3 linked regions of the Sus scrofa genome follow. The protein of the gene in region 2 interacts with the protein of the main gene of each other region in a biochemical or structural test. Links are inferred from orthologs where the notes say so. Each region holds a gene or a part of one and is shown on either strand. Other genes may lie near its edges.

Evidence for each region.
Region 1: the proteins of CEBPB (region 2) and CEBPG form a complex in vitro, tested with the Homo sapiens proteins (2 studies listed by BioGRID and IntAct, with this or other methods). The link is inferred for Sus scrofa from reciprocal best matches to the Homo sapiens genes CEBPB and CEBPG.
Region 3: the proteins of CEBPB (region 2) and ESR1 form a complex in vitro, tested with the Homo sapiens proteins (2 studies listed by BioGRID and IntAct). The link is inferred for Sus scrofa from reciprocal best matches to the Homo sapiens genes CEBPB and ESR1.

Annotation. Positions count from the first base shown.
Region 1 is NC_010448.4:43,163,564-43,167,315, forward strand, and holds the start of CEBPG (CCAAT/enhancer-binding protein gamma), read left to right. Parts: upstream 1-1,356; 5' UTR 1,357-1,556; intron 1,557-1,825; exon of another isoform or gene 1,826-2,336; intron 2,337-2,846; 5' UTR 2,847-2,941; intron 2,942-3,752. UniProt on the Homo sapiens protein: Transcription factor that binds to the promoter and the enhancer regions of target genes. Binds to the enhancer element PRE-I (positive regulatory element-I) of the IL-4 gene. Binds to the promoter and the enhancer of the immunoglobulin heavy chain.
Region 2 is NC_010459.5:51,721,375-51,724,175, reverse strand, and holds CEBPB (CCAAT/enhancer-binding protein beta), read right to left. Parts: upstream 1,544-2,801; coding exon 503-1,543; downstream 1-502. UniProt on the Homo sapiens protein: Important transcription factor regulating the expression of genes involved in immune and inflammatory responses. Also plays a significant role in adipogenesis, as well as in the gluconeogenic pathway, liver regeneration, and hematopoiesis.
Region 3 is NC_010443.5:14,372,627-14,376,278, reverse strand, and holds part of ESR1 (estrogen receptor), read left to right. Parts: intron 1-1,970; coding exon 1,971-2,306; intron 2,307-3,652.

The sequences.
Region 1 (3,752 bases), on a different chromosome or scaffold from region 2:
GCCACCAGCTGAAGAGGAAATAAATACTCTAGTCTCCCTGGCGTTGAGGAGACCTGCTGAGTGTGGAAGAAGACCTGCCCAGACAGACTCAGAGAACATTGGAGCAGCTTGGCAGCAAGTTTAGCAAACCGGGGGATAAGGAACACATCTATACAGGTTTTTTTCCTTTTTTTTTTTTTAATTGATTAGGAAATGGTGAGGATGAAATTATGATTCTGTGAGTAACAAAATCGAATCCAGTTTTAATATTGCTAAAATCGCGATCAAAGAAATTTTAACTCCAACCACTGCCCACCAAAGTGAAAAGTACTGGTTTTGGTGATATTGTGTCATTCTACCAAGTGTGCTTCTACAGTCATCAGCGTTCACTTTTGGCTGCAGCCCTTCTTATTATCTTTTTTTTTTTTGGTTTGTGTGTGCAAATGTTTTATCATCTCTTCATTGATTCCTCGAAACAGTCCCTTGCAGAAAGCTGGTACCATTGCCTGGCGAGGAAGAAACGTTTCCTCTTTCAAAGACTCCAGTTTTTGGACGATAAGAATTGCTAAAGAGGAAGCAATCAAATCTATCTGCCTCCACCCAGCTCGCTGCTTCCTGGTTGTAATACGCTTTCAGATTCTCCTGTGAATTGTCTTTGACAAATAAAGCTGGATTGCCATTCATTTTTTGAGATCAAGTCTCTCAGTCTGTTCACCTGGAAGACAGCACATGGCAGTCAGGTAAACTCAATTATTTCCTCCGTAACCACAGTCTGTACCGAAGTGACATCAATACTAATCCCACATTGGGAAAATTTTCCTTCCTTCGTTTTTCACCAAGTTTGCAGCTGCCTTCACTGCCGTGAGGTCCGGGGCTTCTCTCCAGACTCCATCCGGAGGGCGCGAGTCGCGGTGAGGCGACCGTCGGCCTCCCAGCCTACGAAGAGGCGAGCCCGGTGGGCCGTTCCGGGAAACTGTCCCTGGAAGCGACTCCGAGGCGGGGCTCCCTGAGAACGTGGTGAAACCAAAACAGAAATTGGTGATTCAAAAAAAAAAAAAAAAAAATCATCTCAGAAAATTGCGCTTTCCAAAGACAGGTGTTGCCTTCACAAGGCTACAGTTCTCCAATGCCTCCAACTTTGACAGAACCTTTTGAGCGGCGGGTCGCCCACGTCTTAGGATGTCTCCCCACGCGTTCAGTCCTGGAAACTAAGGCCGCTGCCGCCACCACCCCTGCCCATCCTAAAGCGCCGTGGGCTACGCCTCCGCCACGTGCCCGCCTCCCGCAGTCAGGCCGCTCTCGATTGGCTAGCGGCGCTGCCAATCCCAGGGGGGGCGGGAGCAACCCGTAGGCCGGCGCTCCCATTGGTCGTGGAGGCGGCGGCGGCCGCGCGCGCGGCCTGAGCGAGGAGGGGAAGCCGGTGGCTGCGGCGGCGGAACGGGCGGAGGCTCCCGGTTTCGTAACCGTCGCTCCACCTCGCTGACTCGCGGGCTGCTAGGCCTGGGTCGGGTCCGGCCGTACCGCACGGGGCCGCTTAGAGTGGAGGCCGCCTGGGGGCAGGCGGGCTAGTGGCGCAGGTAAGGAGGCCGCGAGCGGGCTGAGAGAGTTGGGAGGCCGCGGTGCTGCCAGCTGCTCGCGTGGGCGCGGCCCCAGCGAGAGGAGCCCCGGCCCGGCCCGGCCCGAGGCGGCCGGCTTGCTGGGAAGGCCCCGCGCGGCCCGCGGCGCGGGCGGCGGCCCCGCGCGGCGTCTGATGCAACCTGCCGGCAACACCCGGCGAGGCCTCTGAGCTCATCCCTGGCCCCGGCCCAGCGCCGCGGCGCCACCCGCCGACCCCCGGGCTCCCCCGGCGCCCCTGCTGCCGGCCCGGGACGGGATGCGAGCCACGCCGTGCCCCCTCCACAACCCGGCCCTCTGTGTGTGCAGTGTGACAAGCCAGGCTCGTATTGGCCCTTGGGGATAAAGGGTGTTCCCAGAATAGCCGAAGGTAGACCTTATCTTAGTGGAGTGCCACCTAGGTTGTTTCCTGCCCCTCCAGAACTACGCGGGGTCGGGTAGCCGAGAATCGGATTCAGAAGTTATTAGAGTAGTCAGGGAAGGCAGTTGATTTTTTAAATACGTGATTTTACGGAAATAGTATGGTTCCTTATGGAGCTGTACTTTTGAATACCCTTCGTTTGACTGTCGAACACCGGTTGGGTGAACGTGCAGCAACCACGAGTTGAATGGAGCAGGGGAGGGCAAGAAATGAAGCGCTTCGTTAGCATGCTCCGAGGGAACATGCTGAAGCTAATTGCCAGCAGAGGTGTCTGGGTAGAGAGGATGGAAGTGTTAAAGGGAAGGCTACTCTGTTCTTTCAAGTAAGTTTGTGTGTTTTTATGCTTCAGGAGGTTTACTTGTCTGGCTTTTCTGTTATCTGAGGTTTATTTTGTCATCTGGTTTCTTAAAATGTGCTTTTAACTTTGGTGGGTTACGCAAAAATTGGTAGTTCTGTCTCCCAGCCTACACTCAATTGAATCCGTACTTGAAGAGATTATCCTTTGGACAGATAGGTTATGGGACGCTCAAAGAAATTTTTGAGATAAAATACTGATATTTCTGCATCTAAAAGTTCTTGGTATTTAAAAGTTAAAACCTGGTCAGCTGTCACTACTTGAGTAGTATTTGGGATAAAGCTATCCTTAAAGTTGATTTGCTATTTTGGAATAACAGTGTAAACAGGGCTAAACCATCATAGGATTCTAGTGAGTTGGAGAATTTTTCAGTTTCTCAAGTCTTGCTTCGGGCGGGTGCAGTTGGCTGATTCAGTCATTTTAATACTTGCCTAAAACACATAGGTGGGAGCAAAACTTCATTTTTTTTTTTTCCAGAATGCCCTCTAAATTCTCAAGAGCACATCATGACTGTTGATCTTGGAGAGGTGGTTTCATCCTTAGGGATTTAAACAACAGCTGGTGAGTCCTAGGTAAAGACAAATAGGATCTCATGGGGCTGAATTTGGTTCTGTGGTCTAAGATTTGCTTCACCTGATCGCAAAAATGGTAAACGCAGACACAATTCCAGGTTTATTGTGTATTCTTGGGCACCTCTGTGGGTTCTTGTACTGGTAGGTACAATGGTCTCCTACCTTTTTGGCTTTCTAGACGTATCGGTAAAAAAAAAAAAAAAAAAGAATTGCGATTGATTCCTTAATAGATGTGTATTTATAAATGTTTCTTTGTACTATTTGTGTGTGTTGTAAACACCACCAAAAGTAGATTGAAAGATGACCAAAAAAAAAAAAAAAAAAAAACCCATCCAGGTGAACATACATTCTTTTCATTCTCCAAAGGACCACCCGTGTACTCCCTGAAGGGATGTATCCTCCTTCAGGGACCCCTGTTTTGGGTCATGAAGGGCCAGCAGTGACAAATAAATAGAAATCCTGCTCAACTGGGTGTTTATCAACTTTGACTGCTTACCTGACTTCACTTGTAGTACAGGGTTGTCAGACCCTGGCAGCACATGCCTGAGAGCTTGAGGTTATGGAAAACACAACTGGACAAAGTGAAAAATAAAGGTTCTCAACTGAAATGAAGCAAAGACCAGATGAGAATGCTGTTCACTCTCTAGACTGGGGACTAGAAGCTGCAGGGAACTGTTGTTATTTTCCTGTGCACCTTTAAGAAGAACTGAGAGCCTTAGGTGGGTAGTAAGACCGGAACATCTCAGTAACACTCTTGATTTAATTATGGTTGTTTTAAGAGATTTACTGCTCAAGAGTCGCATTTTTATGT
Region 2 (2,801 bases):
GACCAAAAAAACAACAACAAAAACAAAAACAACAGCAACAGAAACAACCCCGTAGGAACATCTTTAAGCGATTACTCAGGGCCCGGCTGACAGTTACACGTGGGTTGCGTCAGTCCCGTGTACACACGCGTTCAGCCATGTTTAAACCGATTGCATCAACTTCGAAACCGGCCCGCCCGCCGGCGCCTGGAGAGGGGGCAGGAGGAGAGGCAGAGTTTATCATTCATCTGTACACATAGACATTTCTTCTTTAAATAACACCACGGGCGGGCGCCTCATCTGCATGTGCGGTTGGTTTGGACAAAAATATAGATATATATAATAAAATATTAAAATTACCGACGAGCTCCCCGCGCTGCCAAGTGCCCCAGTGCCAAAGTTTTGCCGGCGCCACTGGGGGCGGGGGCGGGAGCGCGGGCGCTTCCCGGAGTCACTGTGGCCGCGGCGCGCCCGGCAGCGCGGAGGCCGGCGGGCCGGCAGGGGGACGCGCGCGGGGGCCGCGCTAGCAGTGGCCGGAGGAGGCGAGCAGGGGCTCGGGCAGCTGCTTGAACAAGTTCCGCAGGGTGCTGAGCTCGCGCGACAGCTGCTCCACCTTCTTCTGGAGCCGCTCGTTCTCGGCCGTGAGCTCCAGGACCTTATGCTGCGTCTCCAGGTTGCGCATCTTGGCCTTGTCGCGGCTCTTGCGCACCGCGATGTTGTTGCGCTCACGCCGGATCTTGTACTCGTCGCTGTGCTTATCCACGGTCTTCTTGGTCTTACTCTTGACCTGCGAGGGCGCCGGCGCCGCCCCCGCGTAGCAGGCGGCTGGGGGCGCCTTGGCGTCGGCGGGGCTCGGCGTGCCGGGCGGGCTGGACGACGAGGATGTGGACAGGCTCCCGCTGCTGCCGCTCGGCACCGCCTGGTAGCCGAGGTAGGCGCGCAGCGCATACGGGAAGCCAGCCGCCATGCCTGCGGCGCCGCCGCCCGGCGCTCCGGCCTCCTCCTTCCGCTTGCAGTCCGCGGGCTCGAAGCCCGGCTCCGCCTTGAGCTCGGCCGGCTGCGGCGGCGGCGGCGGGGGCGGCGGGTGTAGGGGCGCGAAGCAGCCCGGGTGCAGCGCGTTCTTGGCGGCCCCCAGACGCCCCAGGCTCACGTAGCCGTATTCGGCCGCCTTCTTGCAGTTCTTGCCCCCGTAGTCGTCGGAGAAGAGATCGGAGAGGAAGTCGTGGTGCTGCCCGGAGGAGGCGGGCGCGGGGGCGGGCGCGGGCGGAGCCGCCTCGAAGGTGTCGGTGGCCGTGGCCGGCGCCGGGGCCTGCGGCGCGCCCAGCGGCTCCAGGTATGGGCTGAAGTCGATGGCGCGCTCGTGGTCACCGATGCTACCCAGCTCGCCGGCGGGGGGGCGCGGCCCGGGTCTGGCCGCGGGGGGCGCCGCGGGGGCCGCCTTGCCGCCGTACGCAGCAGCCAAGCAGTCCGCCTCGTAGTAGAAGTTGGCCACTTCCATGGATTTAAAGGCAGGCGGCGGCGGCAGGGGGAGACATGCTGGGTCCCAGGCCACCAGGCGTTGCATGAACGCGGGTGCCCGGGGAGGGGGCCTGGGGCTGCCCGCTCCGGCCGGCCCGCAGGTGGCGCGGCCTCCTGGCTCCGAACTGTCGCTGCTGTGTCGCTGCTGCTGCTGTTGCTTTTTCCGCTGGATTGGCCGCTATTAGTGCGGGGGCTGGTAGCTGGACCCTCGGGTGGGTCCCCTTCCCGGTCCCGTGCGCGGCTCTGACTCGCTAAAGTTTCTCCAGAGCCCGGTTATTTATAAGGCGGGCCATGGCAACGGCTGCGTCACGCCTGGCGGCCGCCCCAACCCCTCCCCGGGCACGCAGAGGACACGCTGTGGCCGCCCGAGACCCCCGGCAGGGCGGCGGTGGGGCACCGTGACCTGACTGAAGATCTGGAGCGCGCCCTTGGGGGGTCCTCCGGCTTCGGGGGCCGCCACACGCCCCCTGCCCACCCCCACCCTTCGGACTCAGGATTGGAAGCGAGAAGAGGCGCGAACCCGCCCCCGGACCGCCCCCTCTGGGCTGGAGGCTGTACTAGAAGGGAGGGGGGAATCCGGGGAGGGGGCGACGCCATCGCCTTCCCCCACCCTAAACGCGGCCGCGGCCCGCCCCCTGCTGGAGGAGGCCGTGGCTTCAAGATCAGCGGCTCTCAGCCCCAACTCCTTAAGGAGGGGACGCGCCCCAGGCGGGATCCTGGAGACCCCAAACCCCTGCTCTGGCTATTGGAGAGGTAGCCCATCTCCAAAGCCCTTCCAGGGCCCGGCCCCGCCCCTAAACTTGCCCTCGTCCCCAACTTTTGGAAGGAGAGGATTTCACGCCTATAGGGACTTCTCTCCTAAATGCGAAGACTTGTGGTTGGGGGCTTTGGGAGTGCAAGTCTGGAGCAAGCTCCACTGGAGCATCTGCCAGGGGCCCGACCTTGCCCCTCTCCTAGCCCTGCCCAGCACAGCCGCCCGCCCCCTCAGACCACACCCGGGTATTCTCCAGCCCCACCCCACTCCCACTTGGGCACCCAAAGTGTAGAAGGGGGTGTAGGTGCTAAGCTCTGACATTACTGTGTCACCTTGCGCAGGTCACTTAGCTAACCTTCAATCCTTGAAGGTCTCAAAACTTATTATTAGTTGTATTATTGTCTCCACCACAGACTCCCAAACATAAGGCTTTCTGCTCTAAGATGCACAGCAGAGAGAAGGGCCTCTCCCAGGGTGTAAAGAGGCCCAGAGGGGGCATAGCACACCCCAGGTCAGATGGCCTCATGTCCCCCACTATTCTCAAAGAAAA
Region 3 (3,652 bases), on a different chromosome or scaffold from region 2:
TTGTAGCTGTCCTTAAATGTGTCCACTTTGTTGGATACAATTTTAAAGTCTTCCTTTCAGAGCTAGGATCTTGAATCTTACTTAACAGAGAATGATCTCAGACAAGTTCATTAAACTTTCAAAACAGCGGTTTTCCTGTATTTACCTTACAGGATTATTGTGAAAACTAAATTAGTTGTAAAATGGTTACGTGTAAAGTGTATATAAGGTGCTTAAAACACATGGCACATGCTCAGGGCCCGTCAGTGCTAATAATCTTTACAATTATTACTTATCCCAAGAGCTCTGGGAAAGGCTTCGTTTAATACTGAACAAATAGGAATAGGATCTGCGGCTTCATTAAATTTTTAATATCTTCTAACATATCTAATCTAGACCTAAAAGAATAAAAGTTACACATAAAAAATTCACTATTGATGAGAGTTCCTTGTGCGGCAGTGGGTTAAGGCTTCGGCATTGTCACTGCTGTGGCGCCAGCTGAATCTCCAGCCCTGGGATTTCCACATGATATGGGCTCAGCCAAAGGGAAAAAAAAAAAAAATTCACCACAGAACATTTGTTCAAATCCCTTAACAAATTAGAACAAAACAGAACAAAATTCTGACATTAGTTTTTCATTTGTTTCAGAGTGAGAGAACAAGTGATGTTATAAAGAGTGTTTACTTCTATCTTTAATATTAAAAATAATTGTATTAACTTTTTACTAAACTGACTATTTCTTTTATGTATAATCGAAGAACTCTTGCTGTCTGATGTATTTTGGAGAGATTAGAGTTTTTGAAAATATGGAAGCTTGTGTTAATTTTTGCCCTTTAAAATGCATGTTTCGGTTGATAGATTTTAACTTCACAGCCTGGCCTTTTCCAGGTTAAGATGTTGAGCCAAACTTCCAAGAATGTCTGCCAAAGAGATTGGAGCCTCCAGTCCCCCATAATCTAGTTAGTGAGAACCACAGCTGGGTAAATCTTTGGGGGAAAACTATTTTCAACTATTTGAAAACTTTTATATTAGGAAAATGGAAATACATTTGTAAAAACCTTACAACCAAGGAAACAAGTTGAGGGTCTTGGCTCAGTCGCTTAGGTGATGAAGTACCGCTTAGTAGCAATGAAAGCCTGACTGAACGCTGGTGGGGTCCAAAGGCTGTCAGATGTGTTTTGGATAAGTCATTCCCCCTTAGTGTCTTGCCATCAAGAAGTCAACAGGACGATAAGGATGTTTATTAAGTGCTTTTCTCGAATGCCTTTTAAATTTGCTATTAAAAGAATATTCAAGAGTTCCCATTGGGGCTCAGTGGGTTAAGAGTCTGACATAGTGTCTGTGAGGATGCAGGCTGGATCCCTGGCCTTGTTCAGTGGGTTAAGGATCGAGCATTGCTGAAAGCTTCAGCATAGGCTGCAGATGCGGCTCAGATCCAGTGTTGGGGTGGCTGTGGCATAAGACTGCAGCTGCAGCTCCAATTCGCCCCTAAACCAGGAACTTCCATATGCCACAGGTGAGGTCCTTAAAATAATAGTAATAACAATAGTAATAATATTCATAGCAGAAGCAATCTTTTATGCTGTCATATTTCAAGAATGGCTAAATACTGTAATGTTGAACTTTTTAATAACATCTGTCACACACACACCCCAGTGGTTTGTTAGAACCAGCTTTTACTGGCTCACAAAAGCCTACTGTTAAATTTTCAGGAGTTTGTATGCTGCTTGATATCAGACAAGTAGCTTGAAATTTGCCATGGTGGGAGTAGTTACACCATGGAAATTGGCAAATGCTACCAATGGAAGTTTTTTTTCCCCCCTCTTGGACAGCTGGTTGTTAAACACCAGCACAACTATGTCCCCAACTATGTCCTTAAATAAAATAAAGGGCTGTGAGCATCGAAGATAGTTGTAGTATGAAAGTTAATATGAGAAAAAGTATAAACTGGCTTTTTTTTTTTTTTTTTTTTTTTTGGTCTGTATTCTCAGGGATACGGAAAGACCGGAGAGGAGGGAGAATGTTGAAGCACAAGCGCCAGAGAGATGATGGAGAGGGCAGGAATGAAGCGGTGCCCCCTGGAGACATGAGATCTGCCAACCTTTGGCCAAGCCCTCTCTTGATTAAACACACTAAGAAGAACAGCCCGGTCTTGTCCCTGACAGCCGACCAGATGATCAGTGCCTTGTTGGAGGCTGAGCCCCCCATAATCTATTCCGAGTATGATCCTACCAGACCCCTCAGTGAGGCTTCAATGATGGGCTTGCTGACCAACCTCGCAGACAGGGAGCTGGTACACATGATCAACTGGGCAAAGAGGGTGCCAGGTAAGAACATGAAGCTCAACTTTTATTTTTAAGGGCCATTAGCTATTCATGAACTGGTCGTGATAGTGTGGGGACAATGGCTTGTGATCTAATCAGTTTCAAGGTTACATCAGGATTTGTTAATTTTCAGTGTCAGTACACTGTAATTCTCCTGAAAATTAGGGAATAATGTTTTACAATCAAAATCTAGAGTATTAAAGGCTTTAATCTGACATTATTTTTAACTCATCCTATTCACTAAAAAATCTGGGGTGGACACTCCGTTATAAATGCATTTCATATTGTGTGTTCCCAGTGTCAGAAGTTTTTAACACCAAATGATCTATGCCCTATAAAATTTTAATATTGAGGACTTTCATTCAAAACACCTAAATTATTAATAATCAATTTTACCTTAAAATATTTTCTTTTAAGATGTTTATGGACTAACGAGATAATAATAGGGTTTTTTTTTTTTTTAAACCGAATGCCAATTATTCATTCAACCATCTCTTCTCAATATTTTAGGAGAAAGATAATACAACAGAAAATAAATTAGGTTCTCAGCCCTGAGAGGAGCTTTTAGAAAGATAGCAGTGGCTGAAGTGATACTTGGTCCTTCAGTTGATACTCTCAGTACTGATGTTCCTGTAAACCTTGACTGTTGCTCTTGTTGTTCAGGGAGAAGAACTCTAGTTATTATGGAAACAAGACTAGAAAATGACCTCCTCCATGCCCCATCATATCCATTCAGGAGCTAAGGTAGATGAACCAAGGCAAGAGGAAGTTAAATCTTTTTTTTTTTTTTTATGGGCTTATAGATCAAATAAGTAATGAATTTAGACAGCAATTGTCTTGTTTGCTTTCTTTGAATAGATTAATTATTACCTATGAAGCATGGGATGTTCTTTATCAAACTAAATAAATGTAGAGTTTTGTACTTGCATTTTAGAGTTCACCAACTCTATTAATAGCCCAAGCGAACATATATCTGGCCTTATGTACTATTTCATGTATTTGCATATATTAACATATAAACTTGTAGTCCTTTGAATAAGGAACCAGTAACGTGATCCAAACCTGATATAGGGCATTTATTTAGGTGGCAGAGGTTGGGTTACATGGAAACATGGGAATTAATAAGCATACTTAGATTTTCAGGGTCAGTCCAACTGGCAAATAAAAACTCCCAGCCATCTTTGGAATTAAGTTTATTGAGAACTTACCTACCTTAGCATCCTCATGTGGAGCAGATCTATGACAACTAAATATTAGAATTTAATTATAATATGGTCGTAGGTTTTATCTTTAGATTTGTTACTGCCTTTGTTTTTTAAAACAATACTTTGGGAGAAGAGAAAAAAAAA